Linked DNA regions of Lonchura striata. The main gene of each other region encodes a partner of the protein of the gene in region 2 in a complex. Links are inferred from orthologs where the notes say so. Each region holds a gene or a part of one and is shown on either strand. Other genes may lie near its edges. The genes, in order: C-type lectin domain family 2 member B-like and S1PR1.

Region 1 (7,744 bases), on a different chromosome or scaffold from region 2:
TGAATGGTTCAGCTCCCGTCCCGTGCTCACGGCGGTGCTGATTCTGCTGCTCCTGGTGCTGGTGCTGGCTTTGGGGGTGGCCTTGGCTGTGCAGTCAGGTAAGGGAGGGGCAGCAGGCTGGGCCCAGCCCCTCGGGGCAGAGCAGGGTCCCTGCTCCCTGCAGAGGGGAATCCTCAGACCTTCTCCTCTTCCCCCTCCAGCACCACAGGTTCCAGTCACACCTGCGACTCCGCAGTTGGTTCTGGGCTGTCCCCGTGGCTGGGTTGGGTACAATGGGGTCTGCTACTACTTGTCAAGGGATTACAGGAGCTGGGATCAGGCTCAGGAACGGTGCTCGGAGCTCGGGGCCTCCCTGGCCATTCTCCAGGATGAGGCCATGGTGAGTGAGGGGCTGCGGGTGGTGTGGGGTGGCTGAGGGGAGCCTGGGGGTGCTCCTGGGCCGGGCTGGGTGCTCGTAGGGCTGGGGGTGCAGCCCTGTGCCGGGGCCTTGCAGGGAAGGAGCCCCGGCGTGCGGGGGCAGCCCCGGGCACGGGTCCCCCCGAGGGGCCGGGGCAGCTCCCACTCCTCTCTCCTGGGCAGGATTTGCTCTTCCGCCTCCGCGGGAACGTCGATTACTGGATCGGGCTGCGCAGACGGGGCGAGCGCCTGCACTGGGGGGACGGCAGCAGCTACAGCTCCAGGTGAGTGCCGGGGAGCCGGGCAGGGCCTGGGGGCACAGGGGCACAAGGTGTTCCCCTGGGAACCAGCGCTGTCTCTGCTCCTCCCTGCAGGGTTCCTGTCCTTGGCAATTCCCCGTGTGTGTACCTGGCTGACAATAAATTCAGGACCAGGGATTGCTCAAATGAGCGGCCGTATGTCTGCAGCAAGGCCCAAGCTGCCCTGTGACAGGGCTGCAGAAAGGACCTTGTCCACACTGGGCAGTGCCAGCTTCGGCTCTGAGCCCAGCCCAGGGCTGTCCTTCCTCAGCTGCACCCTGTGCCTTGCACGGACTCTCAGGGTCACCTCAGTGCCTGTCCATCCCCAGTGCCAACACAGGGGTGGGTGTTCAGGGGAAAAGTCTCTGCAATGCATCCTGCCCCCGAGGTTGCCTGCAGTGAGTGGATTGTCCTCATTACACAACAAGATCCAGTGAGCAATCTAATCTCTCTGAGGTCTTGGAAATCATCACAAAGTGGCCTGAAGCTGGCACTTCTGGACTGTCTTTGGAGAGGAAGAAGAACAGCTGACACCTGCTGAGGAATCCCAATTTGCATCAGGTATCTTACTGCAAGTAGTGGTTTGTCTGTATATCTGTCTTTCTGTTGGAAAGGATCTGACTGTCCTCCTGTGGAAAAATGACAACCAGGAGCAGGTCAAGGATTTGTCTCCCTGAGGGACAAGCATTGACATGACATGATTGTAACTGCCATCCCTCTGTGCCACTGTCTGAGGAGGAGGGAGGGAGGGAGGGAACTGAGAATAAAATGGAGCCCAGGAAGGAGAGGATAGCGTGGGGAAGGTGCATTTTTAGGATTTGGCACACTTCTCATTCCCATGCTCTGATCTGTTTGATAATAAATTCAACTAAAATCAATGACCCCAGTGGGAGCCTGTTACACCCATGACAGTGACAGATCTCTCGCTGCCTTTCCTGAGCCCCTCGAGCCTTCCCTGCTGTGTCCTGTGCCTGCCCAGGGGCAGGAGGAGAGGCACAGAGTGGCTTTGCTGGCCCCGGGTCCTGGCCCGGCCCAGCCCAGCCCCAGAATCCCTGCCAGAATTCCCTGCACCATTTCCCGGCCCCACGGCGGCTCCGGCTCCGCGGGCAGGCGGCTCCAGGAGTTCAGAGGGGTAAAACGGGACCGAGGGAGAGGAGGCAGCTGGAGCCAGCGGGGGAAATGTCTTTGCTGCGAGCTGGCAGGGAGAGGAGGAGGCATAAAGTGATGCAAAGTAAAGGGGAGAGAAAGAGGGACAAGGCTGGAGCGGTGGAAGGCGGCGGGGATGCCATGGGGCAGGCGGGCATTTTGCTTTCCAGCTGTGTGGGAGGAAACCGAGAGCTCTCAAATCCATGTAGGAAAAGAGGGGATCTCGGGGTTCTGTGGTCAAGATGAGCCAAGATCCTAAAAAGTTTTTTCCTCCCAGCCCCGCAGCCAGAGTCGCTTTTGCTTCTCAAGGTTGTTTATTTTCTCCTATCTATAACATTCAATTTCTGACCTGCTGACCTCTGCCTGGCAAGTCAGATCATGGCATTCTGTCTGCCCTCTAGGCTGGTGTTAACATTTTATATTATGAACTTCGTATACTTTATTTACCATTAATTTCCTACCCATCACCTATGTTAGACAGTGTGTCTCTACTCCAAACCAATAAAAGTGTCACCATCATAGTGAAAGATGGAGGACAAGAAGGAGAAGATACATCGAAATTCCTCCCTCTTGCCTCCTCAACCCCATTCTAAAAAAACCCCAAATTTCTGCTTTTTACCCCGTGTTACATTAACTCAACTCTTGTGACCTGTAAATCTTCACACAAAGTTGGCAGTTTTTTCCACGGACTAAAATCAAAGCCACGGGTGTTTTTGACTTCGTGCCAAGGTCTCCGAGCCCCCTGCCAGGGTCTGGAGACAGCCAGGGCAGCCAGAGGGATGTGCTGGGCTCCCACCAGGGGAGAAGTAGCAGGTGGTGGTGTATTGGCTTTGGTTCGCTGATTTTGAGATTTTTTGCTTATTGTACTAAATTAGCATGGTGGGTTTAGTGTTGGCTAATTACTAATGTGTTTACTTTTTGTTGTGGGGTAGGATTAGGAGAAAGGTAAAGTAAGTTTAAAACTTTAAAAGGCTATGAAGAGAAATTTATTTACAGTAATTAAGAGTAATAAGAATTAGAAGAAAACATTTAGGGCACTTTTTTTTTTTTACTGGTAATGTAAAGGAAGAAATCTTAAAATATTAGTTAGCTTACTACTTTTCAAATAGTTTCTTTCAGATTACGGAGGGAGAGAAGTCTCTCTCCTTAATGTTATGGAGACTTCTCCACAAGGAAAAAAACCCACGTTTTTTATGGTTCTTAATTTTTTTACCACAAGTTGCTGCTTGGGGAAACTTGTAATTGTGATGTCTCTCTTGTGTTTTACAAGCTTTTTTTACAGCTTGTTTATGGGCTATGTTAACTTATGGGGTATTGTTTTAAAGATGAGTTGTTTAAAGGTAAAGGTTTTTATTATCTGTTTTTGAAATTATTTTCATCTCTGGGAACAGATATTTTTGTTTTCTTGGGGGCACAGTATTTTATTAGTCTTCTCTCTTTTTTTGTTTAAACTTTTTGTAGTTACTTTAATATTTCTTTACTTTGGTTTGGAGGCATTTGTTTGATATTAATTTGAACTCTTTAGCCATCTATACTTTTAAGAGTTATTGGGACAAAAGTCTTTGTTCCATAGTTTTCTAAGAGGATTTTAGCTTTAAGATTTAGGCATTTCTTTATTGCTGTTGTTTGGGACTTTATTTCTTCTTTAGTGACTGTGAGAACCCCGGCCTTGCTCTGGGGTCTCATATGGTGGTGAAATTCTTCCTCCAACCTGTGCTTCCAAAGAAAAGCTCCGCAGGCTTTAGCTGTTCGATCTCAAGGCAGTTTATTTTTAGTTATCTAACAGATTATGTTCTTGGACTGCGGCTATTTGATCAGCGGCCTGGGTAGAGGCACACACACACACTGACATCCTCTCTATCTGCTGTCTTCTTTGTCTCTCCCATCTGCCCAGGGCTGCTGCTGTCTTTTATAAGATATATTATGTATAACATGTTTACAATTATTCCCCAATACCTACTACCTACGCTGCCAAGTGTTTTTCTACTCTAAACCAATCTGTGAGTGCCAACATCACCAAGAACATGAAGGTAAGGAAAAAGAAGGAGGAAGAATAGGATCAGCCCACTTTCCTCCATCTTAGAACTTCTGACCCCCATGTACAAAGTGAAAACCCCCTGTACATGTGTTAAAACCCCCCTGTACAATACTAAAAAAATTTCCCCTCTACTTTGTAATTACTTATACTATACTATCTAACCTTTTGTGACTGCTTGTTCCACCTCCAAAGTTGGTAACTCATTCCATGGCTCAAACTCAAAATCACAGCTGTTTCCAGCTGCCTGCCAGGGTCTAGAATGCTTCTGACCAAGGCCTGGAACCTCTAAAAATGTCTGAGAGACATTTTGAGTTCCCACAAGTGACTTTGATGATTTCACGTTGTTCTTTTACATGTTGGGGTGTTTTGTTTGGTTGGTTTGTGCCAGCAGCGGCTGCAGGGCTGGATTTTGGGTTCTGCCGGTTCAGTTCGAGCTGCAGGGTCACGGTGCACGGGCCGTGGGGCCGCCTCTGCTCTGAGCTGTCCGCGCTCCGTGCTTGTTAACCGCAAGATAAAAAACACGAGTTCCCGAGTTTTGTTCGTCTGAAACATGCGTGTTTCATAGAAGGGCGTACAAGTGTGAACCGCCAATAGTTAACCCTTCGCGGTACGCGGCCCGCCCATCTCCAGCAGCCGGGGCTGGGCTCGGCTCCCCCCGGCTCCTCCCTCCGCGGGCCAAGGGCCGCCCCTCGCTGCTTTCCCACTTTTGACTGGTGAGAACGGCCAAAACCCTCCCACACCGACACCGGCTCCACCCTACATGGGAATTCCACTGTCCGTGGGGTTAGTCAACACATGTGTCGGTCCTTTCGGCCGGGAGCGGAGCGGCGGCGGGGGGCGAGGTCGTGAGGGACCGGAGCGGCGGCGGCCCCGGAGCCCGGCGAGGCGATGGCGAAGCTCGGAGGCGGCTCCAGCCCCGGCGGGACCCGCGGTCGGTTCTGCCCCAGCTCGGGGCTCGCTGCGGGCGGAGGGGCCGTGCTGAGGGCCAGGGGGGTTCTGGCGAGTTCCTTGTGCCGGGTTCCGCCGGGTCCCCCTGCGCTGGGATCGCGGAGGGAGCGGCTGCCCGCGCTCTCCTCCTTGCCCGGATCGCTGGGGACGAGCCGGGGCCGCAGCAGCGATGGCTCGTCCCGGTTGCTCTCGCTCGGGCGGAGGCGGCTGCTCCGTGCCCGGGACAGTTCCCGGCCGTGCGGCTCCGGGCTGGGGCCGCTGCTCGGGCGGGAGGTGTCCGTGCCCGGCTCGGGCGGGCAGTGTGTGGATCTGGGCTCTTATGGATGGATTGCAAAGAGCAGCAGGCACGGAGTGGGCGGAAAAGCGCCGTATCCGCGTCCTCCGGGGCGGAGCCGCCTTGGGTTCTTGATATGCTGGGCCTCGTCAGTGGCTGGAACCAAGAGCCCCAGCTGCCCCCAAGGCTGTGCAGTTCTCCTGCTGCAGCCTGTCCCCACAGCTGTGTCCCTGCCTGTCCCCACAGCTGTGTCCCTGGCTGTGCCCAGGCTCTTGGCTCTCTGGCTGCCAGCTGAGTGAGGGGCACAGTGGCTGAGGGGTCCCTGCTGTGCTCCCTGGGCACGGGGTGAGCAGATTGCAGGGCCGGGTCTGGTTCTGGCAGCCAGCAGCTCTTTCCTGCTCCAGGTGAATGGTTCAGCTCCCGTCCCGTGCTCACGGCGGTGCTGATTCTGCTGCTCCTGGTGCTGGTGCTGGCTTTGGGGGTGGCCTTGGCTGTGCAGTCAGGTAAGGGAGGGGCAGCAGGCTGGGCCCAGCCCCTCGGGGCAGAGCGGGGTCCCTGCTCCCTGCAGAGGGGAATCCTCAGACCTTCTCCTCTTCCCCCTCCAGCACCACAGGTTCCAGTCACACCTGCGACTCCGCAGATGGTTCTGAGCTGTCCCCATGGCTGGGTTGGATACAATGGGGTCTGCTACTACTTGTCAAGGGATTACAGGAGCTGGGATCAGGCTCAGGAACGGTGCTCGGAGCTCGGGGCCTCCCTGGCCATTCTCCAGGATGAGGCCATGGTGAGTGAGGGGCTGCAGGCGGTGTGGGGTGGCTGAGGGGAGCCTGGGGGTGCTCCTGGGCCGGGCTGGGTGCTCGTAGGGCTGGGGGTGCAGCCCTGTGCCGGGGCCTTGCAGGGAAGGAGCCCCGGCGTGCGGGGGCAGCCCCGGGCACGGGTCCCCCCGAGGGGCCAGGGCAGCTCCCACTCCTCTCTCCTGGGCAGGATTTGCTCTTCCGCCTCCGCGGGAACGTCGATTACTGGATCGGGCTGCGCAGACGGGGCGAGCGCCTGCACTGGGGGGACGGCAGCAGCTACAGCTCCAGGTGAGTGCCGGGGAGCCGGGCAGGGCCTGGGGGCACAGGGGCACAAGGTGTTCCCCTGGGAACCAGCGCTGTCTCTGCTCCTCCCTGCAGGGTTCCTGTCCTTGGCAATTCCCCGTGTGTGTACCTGGCTGACGATAAATTCCGCAGTGAGATGTGCTCAAATGAGCGGCCGTATGTCTGCAGCAAGGCCCAAGCTGCCCTGTGACAGGGCTGCAGAAAGGACCTTATCCACGCTGGGCAGTGCCAGCTTCAGCTCTGAGCCCAGCACAGGGCTGTCCTTCCTCAGCTGCACCCTGTGCCTTGCACTGACTCTCAGGGTCACCTCAGTGCCTGTCCATCCCCAGTGCAAACACAGGGGTGGGTGTTCAGGGGAAAAGTCTCTGCAGTGCATCCTGCCAGTGGTGCTGCCTGGAGTGACTGGATTGCCCTCATTATATGTTAGGAACACAGCTCTCTATTCACCCTTTTGATAAAAGTTTTTATACATACCTTTAATACAGACATAGAAATTATTTTATAAATATTTTAAATGTTTATATATTATGACTTTACATTAACATGTTCTTTCGTTTGGTTTTAACTTTTGACTTGTCTTCATGCTATCTTGTCTAATTAAACCAATATAATTTATGTTTTCTTGTGGTTCTATCTTGTATTTTCACTCCCTGATGAGGGTCAATAATTCTTCTTTTTGTTCACCACTCTTGTTTCTGATTCCATTATCGTGTCTTTCAGATAAGAAAGTCCCCAAATATGGGAAATCAATTATTTTACATCATTTTCTGAGTTAGTTACATTAAACAATCATTTCAGCATTTCACAGTCTCTATTATTTCACGCTCTAAGACAGTATCTATTACATCTCTAGTTATAGAAGCTATATGGTGCATACATACAGTGACAGGTTATACTATATCAAAAGCAGTAATTACAATGTGTAGTATATCGGAATTCTTGTGGTCAATAATAACTTGAAAAACCAAAGTTAGTACATAAATGTGAAAGCCATAATTATAACATAATAGAACAAACTCGACTGGGGAATGCAAATTTCCCTGGATTCCTGGAAATCATCACTGGCCTGAAGTTGAGACTTTAGGATGGTCCTTGGAAGATGTGAGAAAGGACCCTCACTTTAAAAATTTCAAATGCTCATGAAATCATAACAAAAAAATACGATACTAAGGAATAATTACAACACTGGGCTCTCTGGGGCTATCAGCCACGTGCACATTTACAAAATGGGTGCTCTGCCTTTTATACCCTCAGCCCCTCCCAGAGTTGTGTCAGTGAACCCCTTCTCTGCCGTGCACTGGTGCAGATCACTTCCTTACATCTCGACTGCAGCTCAGGTGCTGTCCTGTCGCCCCTCCTGGTAAGAAGCCGGCCCTCCCCAAATGCCCTGGCTGCTGAGGCTGCTACAGGGGCAGGGGAAAGGGGGCTGGGGGAGCTCATATTACAGTAACAGCTCTATACATTTACAAAAATTCTCCTAATATATACATAATATCTATCTCTTCATTGTGAGAGCCACCCATCACATGAGTCATCTATAACA
Region 2 (7,694 bases):
TAAACAAACACACTTCTTACCAACAATACCAGAGCCACCATTAAATTCAGTACAGAAAGATCTTTGTGTCAGTGGTTTGCTGTGAAGAGAAAAAACTTCACATTCTTCTCACAGGAAAAAAAAAAAATATTCATTCTCCCTTTCCCTCCTCCCCCTCTCTCTTTCTCTCACACACACCAGGCATCATTTCACCAAGGCATCAGTCTTTCAGAGTTACTAAGGAGATTTCAGGATATGAATGCGCCTGACAATCCTGAGCTGCCTCAGCGCAAAGACAAAACATGCTCCAGGGAAAAAGATTTTCAAGCCAGAACAGTGTGTCCCATTTCTTGAACTCCAGCCTCGCAAGTGCACTGTTTGCCTCATTAGAACTAATGCTACTTGCTCACTCAGCCCAACGCTGCTGCTGTGAGCAGGAGGCGTCCCAGCTCCCTCATTTCAGAGGAAGACTCTGAAATACACCCCCATGGTTACTCCTAAGAAGATGAGGTAACATTGCCCGAAGACATGATGGTTTCAGGATGGTCACCGTCCTCCTTCTGTGGGTGTGAGGAGTTGTCAGACTTACTCCGGCTGAACTCCATCCCCCCAATGATTGGCCGTTTGAATTTGGTCCCAGAATCTGCAGGGGGACATGTGCAGCAGCACAAAATCTTGATGAATGCCCTCCGCATCTCTTTGTTTGTCAAGGTGTAGATGATAGGGTTTGTGGCTGAATTGAGCACGGCCAGTACTAAGAAATACTCTGCTTTGTAGAGGATTGGGCAGGTCTTCACTTTGCACCCCACATCCAGTAAAAGGAGGATGAACAGAGGAGCCCAGCAGGCAATGAAGACACTCAGGACTATGATCACTGTCTTGAGCAAGGCTAGTGACTTTTCTGAGCTCCTGGTAGCTTTGGTAATGTTTTTCCGAAATGTCAGCCTGCGGCTCCTAGTCCTCACCATGGAGTAGATCCTGCAGTAGAGGACCACAATAGATAACAAAAGGCCAGTGAAAACGGTTGTGCAAAAGAGAATATAGTGCTTGTGGTAGAGAGGCAGCACGGTGGAGCAGTTGGACAAGAGGTTCTTGCAGTTCCAGCCCATGATCGGGAGCCCCCCAAGGATTGCGGAGATGACCCAGCACGCACTGATCAGCAAGAAGGAGCGGAAGCTGTTGCTGCCATTGTGGAGTTTCATCTTCAGCATGGTGATGTATCTCTCGATGGCAATGGCCAACAAGCTGAACACAGAAGCTGACAAGGCAACAAACATGGTGCCTTCTCTTACAAACCACTGGTTGGGGGTCAGGCTGTAGGTTTTGTGTCCAGATAGCAGGATGTTGGCAGTGTAAGCCACACCAGCCAGTAAGTCTGAAAGAGCCAAGTTCCCAATGAAATAGTACATGGGTCTGTGAAACTTCTTGGTTTTCCAGATGGTAAGCAAGACAAAAATGTTCTCTAAGATTATAAAGCAGCAAATGATAATAAAAACCACCGACGTCACTTTAATTCCAGTGTCCACACTCTCATTTAGCTTTCCCGTGTAATTATAATGCTCTTTGATGACATAGTTGACATCAGTGTTGGTAGGGTTGCTGGTGACCTTCTGCGGGGCAGTGGTGCCAGAGTTCATGGTGCCTGGCTGGGGACTGCTCCCCCAGCAGCCGCCGGATGGTGACGCCAACCGCAAACCCGGTGGCTGCCCCGAAAATCCTTGGCCCGACACTGCTGCACAGCCTCACAAACTGCAGCCCTGAGAACAAGAGGCATGAAAACCAGACTTAAAAGAAGGAAGACTAAAAATGTAGCAAATGCTAAAGGGTTCAATAATCTGCTGTTTTAACTGTACATCAGAGTAAAAAAATGTATTCATACATGAATCAGTTTCATTCAGCTGGTAAAATACATTTAAAAGGTGGTTAGCTATATTGAATAGGTAAAGCTAATAAGACAAAAAAAGTTCGGTCATGCAGAACTGAACAAGTTGGAGTCAGCAAGGACTGTATTACTGGACTTCTTCCAGCACAAAAGATCTCAAAGCTCTCCAGCAGTAAGTTCTAGTCTTTTTTTCTTCAGTGAGAAATACAACATCAGAGATTAAAAATGGGAAAGGGCTTGCTTGATGAGATTTAACTCTAAATGTACAAAAGTTTGCACAGAAATTACTTGATACAGACCTGTATTCTCCTCCATTAATAAAGTCTGAATACACTTTGGAAGGGGATAGTTATGCAATTTACTGATGCCATCTCAAACAGTGGTAAATTCACTGATGTAAATATACACAAGAAATCATCTCAAAGCTGTAAACAGCTTAAGGGGTGCCCTTGCTAAATACAAGTAAGAATATGCTTTACAAAGCCCACAGCAGTAAAAAGTTAAGAAAAACAAGAAAAATATGGAATTAAGCTGAAGAGCAAGCCCATTCCATGGATCTAAAAGTAAGAATGTCAAAAAACCCCCTTGCATTTAAATAACTAGTATTGCAAGCTTTTGAAGTGGGCATAATTAAGTAATACACATATAGAGGAAACCCCCTTTACATATAAAGGTTTTGTAGAAGTACATTTAAAAATAATTAAACCCATAATATCAGGCAAGGAAAGAAGAACAGGCAGATTTGCTAAATTACAGCCTAAGCGGGGCAAGGCAGTGGGTTCGGCTCCCTACACTATTCCCGGGCTCCGGTCTGCATCGCTCCCGGGCATAAAAGTGCCATGGCTCCTGTCCCGCACCGCTCCTGTCCCGCACGGCTCCGGGGCTCCTACTCGCAGCGCTCCGGCTCCGCTTCGGTCTCCGCGCGCGTGGCTCCCGTCCCGCACCGCCTCTGCCGGACGCGGCAGCAGCCGGGCACGCCGGCGCCCAGGTAGCCTCCTCCCCACCCCGTCTGGTTTGTGTCGCGGCCCCGGGGGTCGCGCCGAGCGGGGACCGCAGCGCTGGGACTTGAGGCGTCCCCGCGTTGCGGGGACTGCGCGGCCGCGGCTCCCCGAGCCTTACCTGGCTCAAGCGCGGCGCGGAGCCCAGACCGGCCCCGCACATCTTGCGTGCCCGCGGAGCAACTCCGGTGGGCGGGCTAGGGGGCTCGGTGGTTTTAATGTTTTGTAGCTGCTGCTCTCCACCCTCATTTCCGATTCCCGTGTCTTCCCTGCGTGCCCAGCCCAGCCCAGCCGGCGGGACAGCCCGCCCACCGCCCCACCCCGCGAGCCGCGGCGCTGCCGTGCCCGGCTGGTGCGGAGCCCGCGGGCAGCAGCGGCCGGCTCCGGAAGGCGTGAGGCGAGGAGCTGCCCCGGGGGACCCGCTCGCCCCGCCGGGCCGGGGGGCGCCGCGGCCGGGCTGCAGCCGTCCCTGACCTGAGAGCCGCCGCCGGGCGCACCCGGCATTCCGGGGAAGGAGGTGCTGGCGCGGCCCGGCGGCTCCCAGCGCGGCTCCTGCGGGGTGCCGGGGGCAGCTTCCCGCCCGCCCGGCTTTCCTGCCCCCCGAAAGGTTATGGCCAAAGGCAGCGTCCCGTATGCTACCTCCGTTCCCCCTCTTAGAGGACAGTGTAAGTCCTGTTTAAGGAAACACCCGAAAGAAGCTCTTCCATTTTCTCACTACAACCAAGGTGTTTTTGCCGTGGCAGGCCCGGTGGCTGCCACCCGCACTCGTGGCCCGCAGTGACTCACCAGCGGCTCCCCGGGGAGGCAGCAGCCCCATGGGGCGAGGATGGTGCCAGGCTGCACTCTGCGGGGAAGAAGCCAGAACTGGCTCATGGGGGATAAACTCAGTTCCTGCCACTGTCAAACAGCACCAGGTGTTGGTGTTTCCACATGAAAAAAGAAAACCAAACCGAAAAAACAACAAAAACCAAAATACACAAAACACCCCAAAACAAAACAAACCCCAAACAAACCCAAACAAAAAACCCCCAACCGATAACCCCCCCAAAAAACTAAAAATCCCCAAAACTAACCTCTGCATGTTCAGAGGATGCTGTAAAACAACTATGTTTGAAAGTACGAAGAAAAGTTTTTAATGCATTTTTTTCAGAAACAAAACTGGCAATGGCAACTACTTAACACTGTTACCACTGTATCATATTGTATATTCTTTTTAAAAGAAAAAGCACCTTTGGCATATGTGAAATGCCAGCTCTGGTATATTCTAGTCGTTGCACTTACTGCAGAAATTTCCTCTTCCTTCCTTGCTCTGCTCTTGTTAACTCCAAATTGAAATGTAAAAGAATATCACAATAGGCCAAAGTGCAATAAATTGGGTCTTTCAGTTTAAAGTATTGTGCCCATCAATTAGCTGTAGCAGTTGTTATGGGGAAGCAGCTTTCCTCTGAAAGACAGTACAAGTATTCTACCCTCAGGAAGAGGGTCCCTCTCTTATTTATGCTAATAGTCATGCTTCAACTGCTCCACACCCGTCCCAGAATGACTCAGATAAATTACACTGGCAAACAGACATTTACTCTTCTACCACAAAGCTAGAAACTTGAAAAGATATTTAGCCTCCTGAGAGCCTGGAGGAAAATGCAGCCGTTAAGTCACAACTGTCAGAAAATGCACGAGATAAATCATGCTTGAGGCTGACATATGTATCCCCTGCAACTGCCTGACATACCCCAGATATTTCAAGCTTTCCCCCTTATTTATCTAATACATAGAAAATACTAAATAAAAGTGCATTAATTAGGCATTTTCTTCTAGGAAATAATTATTACATAATTTTAAGTAAGAGGAACATATTAAAGGAACATGCTTTAATTAAAGGATAGAATGATTCAGGGTTTCATTAGTCAGATGTGCAGGCTTTCATGTCCAGGCTATTGGCTACCAGCTGAGAGGATACCATCTCAGAGATGTGACATTCAGCAAATTAATTGTCAGAGCCTGTGTAAAATTACAGAACCACAGAATGGTTTGGGTTGGAATGGAAGACCTTAAAGATCACCCAGTTCCTACTCCGTTGCCATGGGTGGGGGCATCTTCCACTAGGTTAGGATGCTCAAAGCCCCATCCAACCTAGCCTTGAACATTTCCAGGGATGGGGACATCCACCCTTTCTTTGGGCAACCTGTTCCAGCAAAGAAATTCTTATCAATATTGAAACTAAGCCCACTGTCTTTCAGTTTGAAGCCATTCTCTTGTCCTGACACTACATGTTCTTGTAAAAAGTCCCTTTCCAGCTTTCCTGTAGGGCCCCTTTATATTCTTAAGCACCACAAGAAAGTAACTGCAGAGCCTTCTCTTCTCCAGACTAAAAAAACCCAACTCTCTCAGCCATTCCTTAGAAGAGGTGCTCCAGCCCTGTGGTCATTATTTGCATCTTTCCTCCGGACCTGCTCTGACCATGTCTGGTCCATGTCTTTCCTGTGCTGAGAGCCCCAGAGCTGGACACAGCACTGCAGGTGGGGCCTGACCAGAGCGGAGCAGAGGGGAAAAATCCCCTCTTGCCTTGACCTGCTGCCCACAGTCCTTATGGTGCAGCCTAGGATACCACTGGCTTTCTGGGCTGCAAACTCACACTTCAGGCTCATGTCCAGACTCTTATCCACCAGCACCCCCAAGTCCTTCACATCTGCCTCTCTTACCCGATAGTGATACAGGGAGTTGTCCAACACAGGTGCAGCACTGGGCAAAATATGCAGGCAATTTCAGTTCCATTCCAAAAAGTGGGTACTTGTATCACAAAAGGCATCGTTAAACTTAGATGACCACATACATTTACAGCCTTCTTGACACCTTGGCACTGAGGAAACTGAAACATAGCTTCACTCTTCACAGGTAAATGGAGGCAGATCAGCTGGATTTGCACTGAAGGCTTTCTAAACCCTCAGAGAAGATAGGTTAACATAGCTCAACTGCACAGGTTCTAACCTGCTTACAAGGACTGAAACACAAACATGGGACTACTCAGGTTGGTCCAGCCAACTCTACCAAAACTGTAGTTGCTGGTAAGTGTTTAGCAAGGGGGTTTAAACCAGGGTTAAACTCCAGTCTCACCAGGAAAACAAGCCACCAACAGAATGAGAACTCTTTCTCAGTGCCGTGTCCACTGATAAGGAAGCTTGCACTTCTACTACAGAAATCCAGTGTATACACGGCTCCTCTGAGAACTCGATTCTGGAATTGCCCATGGTCAGAATAAGGAGAAAGAACAACACAATGTTATTAATGCATTTCAGAAATAACCAGAATGCAGGTCTCTGTCAAATGCCAGCAGAAAGGCTGTGCACATCAGGACACCAACCTGACACAGAACAGACGCCTCACCTGGCTAAACTGGTTAAAAAAATGTTCTGTGACATGTCTACTAGCACAAAGAGAAAGACACATTCTTCACAGGGATCCTGAGTATGTATATGCTCTTAGATAGTTTCCAGGATGAGCAGAAACTCACATTATAGGGAATGGCATGAACAACAACAAAATAACACTGACTGTGTGTGACAACCCAAGTTCTTGTGGAACTTCCAGTGAGAGCTTAGCTTGGTCAGGATTGCAGAAACATGGCTAGTCACAGAGCTATTTCCTTGCAGGAAAATGCTTTGATCTTGTCAGAAAAGAAGCTGTAAGCTGGGGTCCACCCAATGCCTGCATATCAAAAGACTGGTGGCCTCTGACACCACCAGACCCAATTCTCCCAGTGCAGCTGGACAGCTCACAATTGCATCAGAGGAGTGTCTGAACACTATCCATCTTGAAAAGATAGTGACAATCCCTGCAAGGGAGATTAGCAAAGGATTTTTCTCCAACACGTCATTCTTCTGCACTTTTCAAAAGTCTTTGTCCATATAAGCAAAAACTACTTTTATTCATCCCGATGTAGCTTAGGTCACAAAGGGAGACAATCCTCTCTGAAGTGCTGGGGCATGACAGGAGATCTGTGAAACAGTACCAAATTGCAGGTTTGGTCACCAAGAAAATATCAAGAATGGCCTGCAGAATCCCCCAAAATTCTCTTGACTGGAAGAAATAAAAAAGTTGGATTCATTGTTCTGCTGCAATCCCTGAACAAATATTCCATATTTTGAATCATTTGTCAAGATTTACATACATTGTACCATGCTCTTACATACCTTCAAGTAATTAATACTTTTCAAAATCTGGAAGTAAAAAAATACACCTAATTAATGTGTTCAGATGGGTTCCAGTGACACCTTAAATGAAATACATGCAGGCAGAAGAAAATTATAATATTGTGAGATAACTAACCCATACTGGGAGACTATACGGGAAAGTTCTAAGAAAGCAAAAAAGACACTGAAGGTATTTCTGCATCTGTAAGAAAGCTACACACAGTAAATTAAATTATTTTATTAATTTGTTAACATAAGAGTAACTACAAACCATTTATACTGATTCTTGAGTATACTGCCTGCCCAAGAGAACAATTCAGATTTATTGTTCAGTTTAAAATTAATTAATGTTCAGGTTACATCACTTTTCCAGTTTAGAACAATCTGGTTTTAAATTATTCTTTCCACAGGGAGTATGTTAGATGAATTAATTTTCTGTTGATATTCACAGTATTAAAAAATTCCCTATCTTCTTTCTTCAGATTAGAATCAAAAACCTGGTTTGAAGGAAAAAAAAAAGTAATGAGAACATTGCAAAGATTAAAGCACACATATTTTTTTCAGTATTAGTATTCTGTAACTTAGATTCTATAACTGAGGTCTGGTTTTAAGTGCTTGATATTGACAAATGATATTAATTAAATGGCC

The links.
Region 1: the proteins of S1PR1 (region 2) and C-type lectin domain family 2 member B-like are in contact, whole or in part, in a cryo-EM structure (PDB 8G94), measured with the Homo sapiens proteins. The link is inferred for Lonchura striata from reciprocal best matches to the Homo sapiens genes S1PR1 and CD69. Residues at the interface, in NP_001307659.1 of Homo sapiens: Asn157, Leu160, Phe161, Ile164, Ser165, Trp168, Val169, Leu172, Ile173, Gly176, Ile179, Met180, Gly181; in NP_001772.1 of Homo sapiens: Val41, Ala44, Val45, Val48, Val49, Thr52, Ile53, Ile56, Ile59, Ala60, Val63.

What each region holds. Positions count from the first base shown.
Region 1 is NC_134609.1:37,192,362-37,200,105, forward strand, and holds C-type lectin domain family 2 member B-like, read left to right. Parts: upstream 1-4,667; 5' UTR 4,668-4,767; coding exon 4,768-4,810; intron 4,811-5,505; coding exon 5,506-5,604; intron 5,605-5,706; coding exon 5,707-5,885; intron 5,886-6,085; coding exon 6,086-6,186; intron 6,187-6,276; coding exon 6,277-6,391; 3' UTR 6,392-7,001; downstream 7,002-7,744. Other genes in the region: C-type lectin domain family 2 member B-like, read left to right, coding at 1-98, 201-379, 580-680, 771-885. UniProt on the Homo sapiens protein: Transmembrane protein expressed mainly on T-cells resident in mucosa that plays an essential role in immune cell homeostasis.
Region 2 is NC_134611.1:23,117,019-23,124,712, reverse strand, and holds the start of S1PR1 (sphingosine 1-phosphate receptor 1), read right to left. Parts: upstream 3,111-7,694; 5' UTR 2,981-3,110; intron 1,737-2,980; 5' UTR 1,617-1,736; coding exon 477-1,616; 3' UTR 1-476.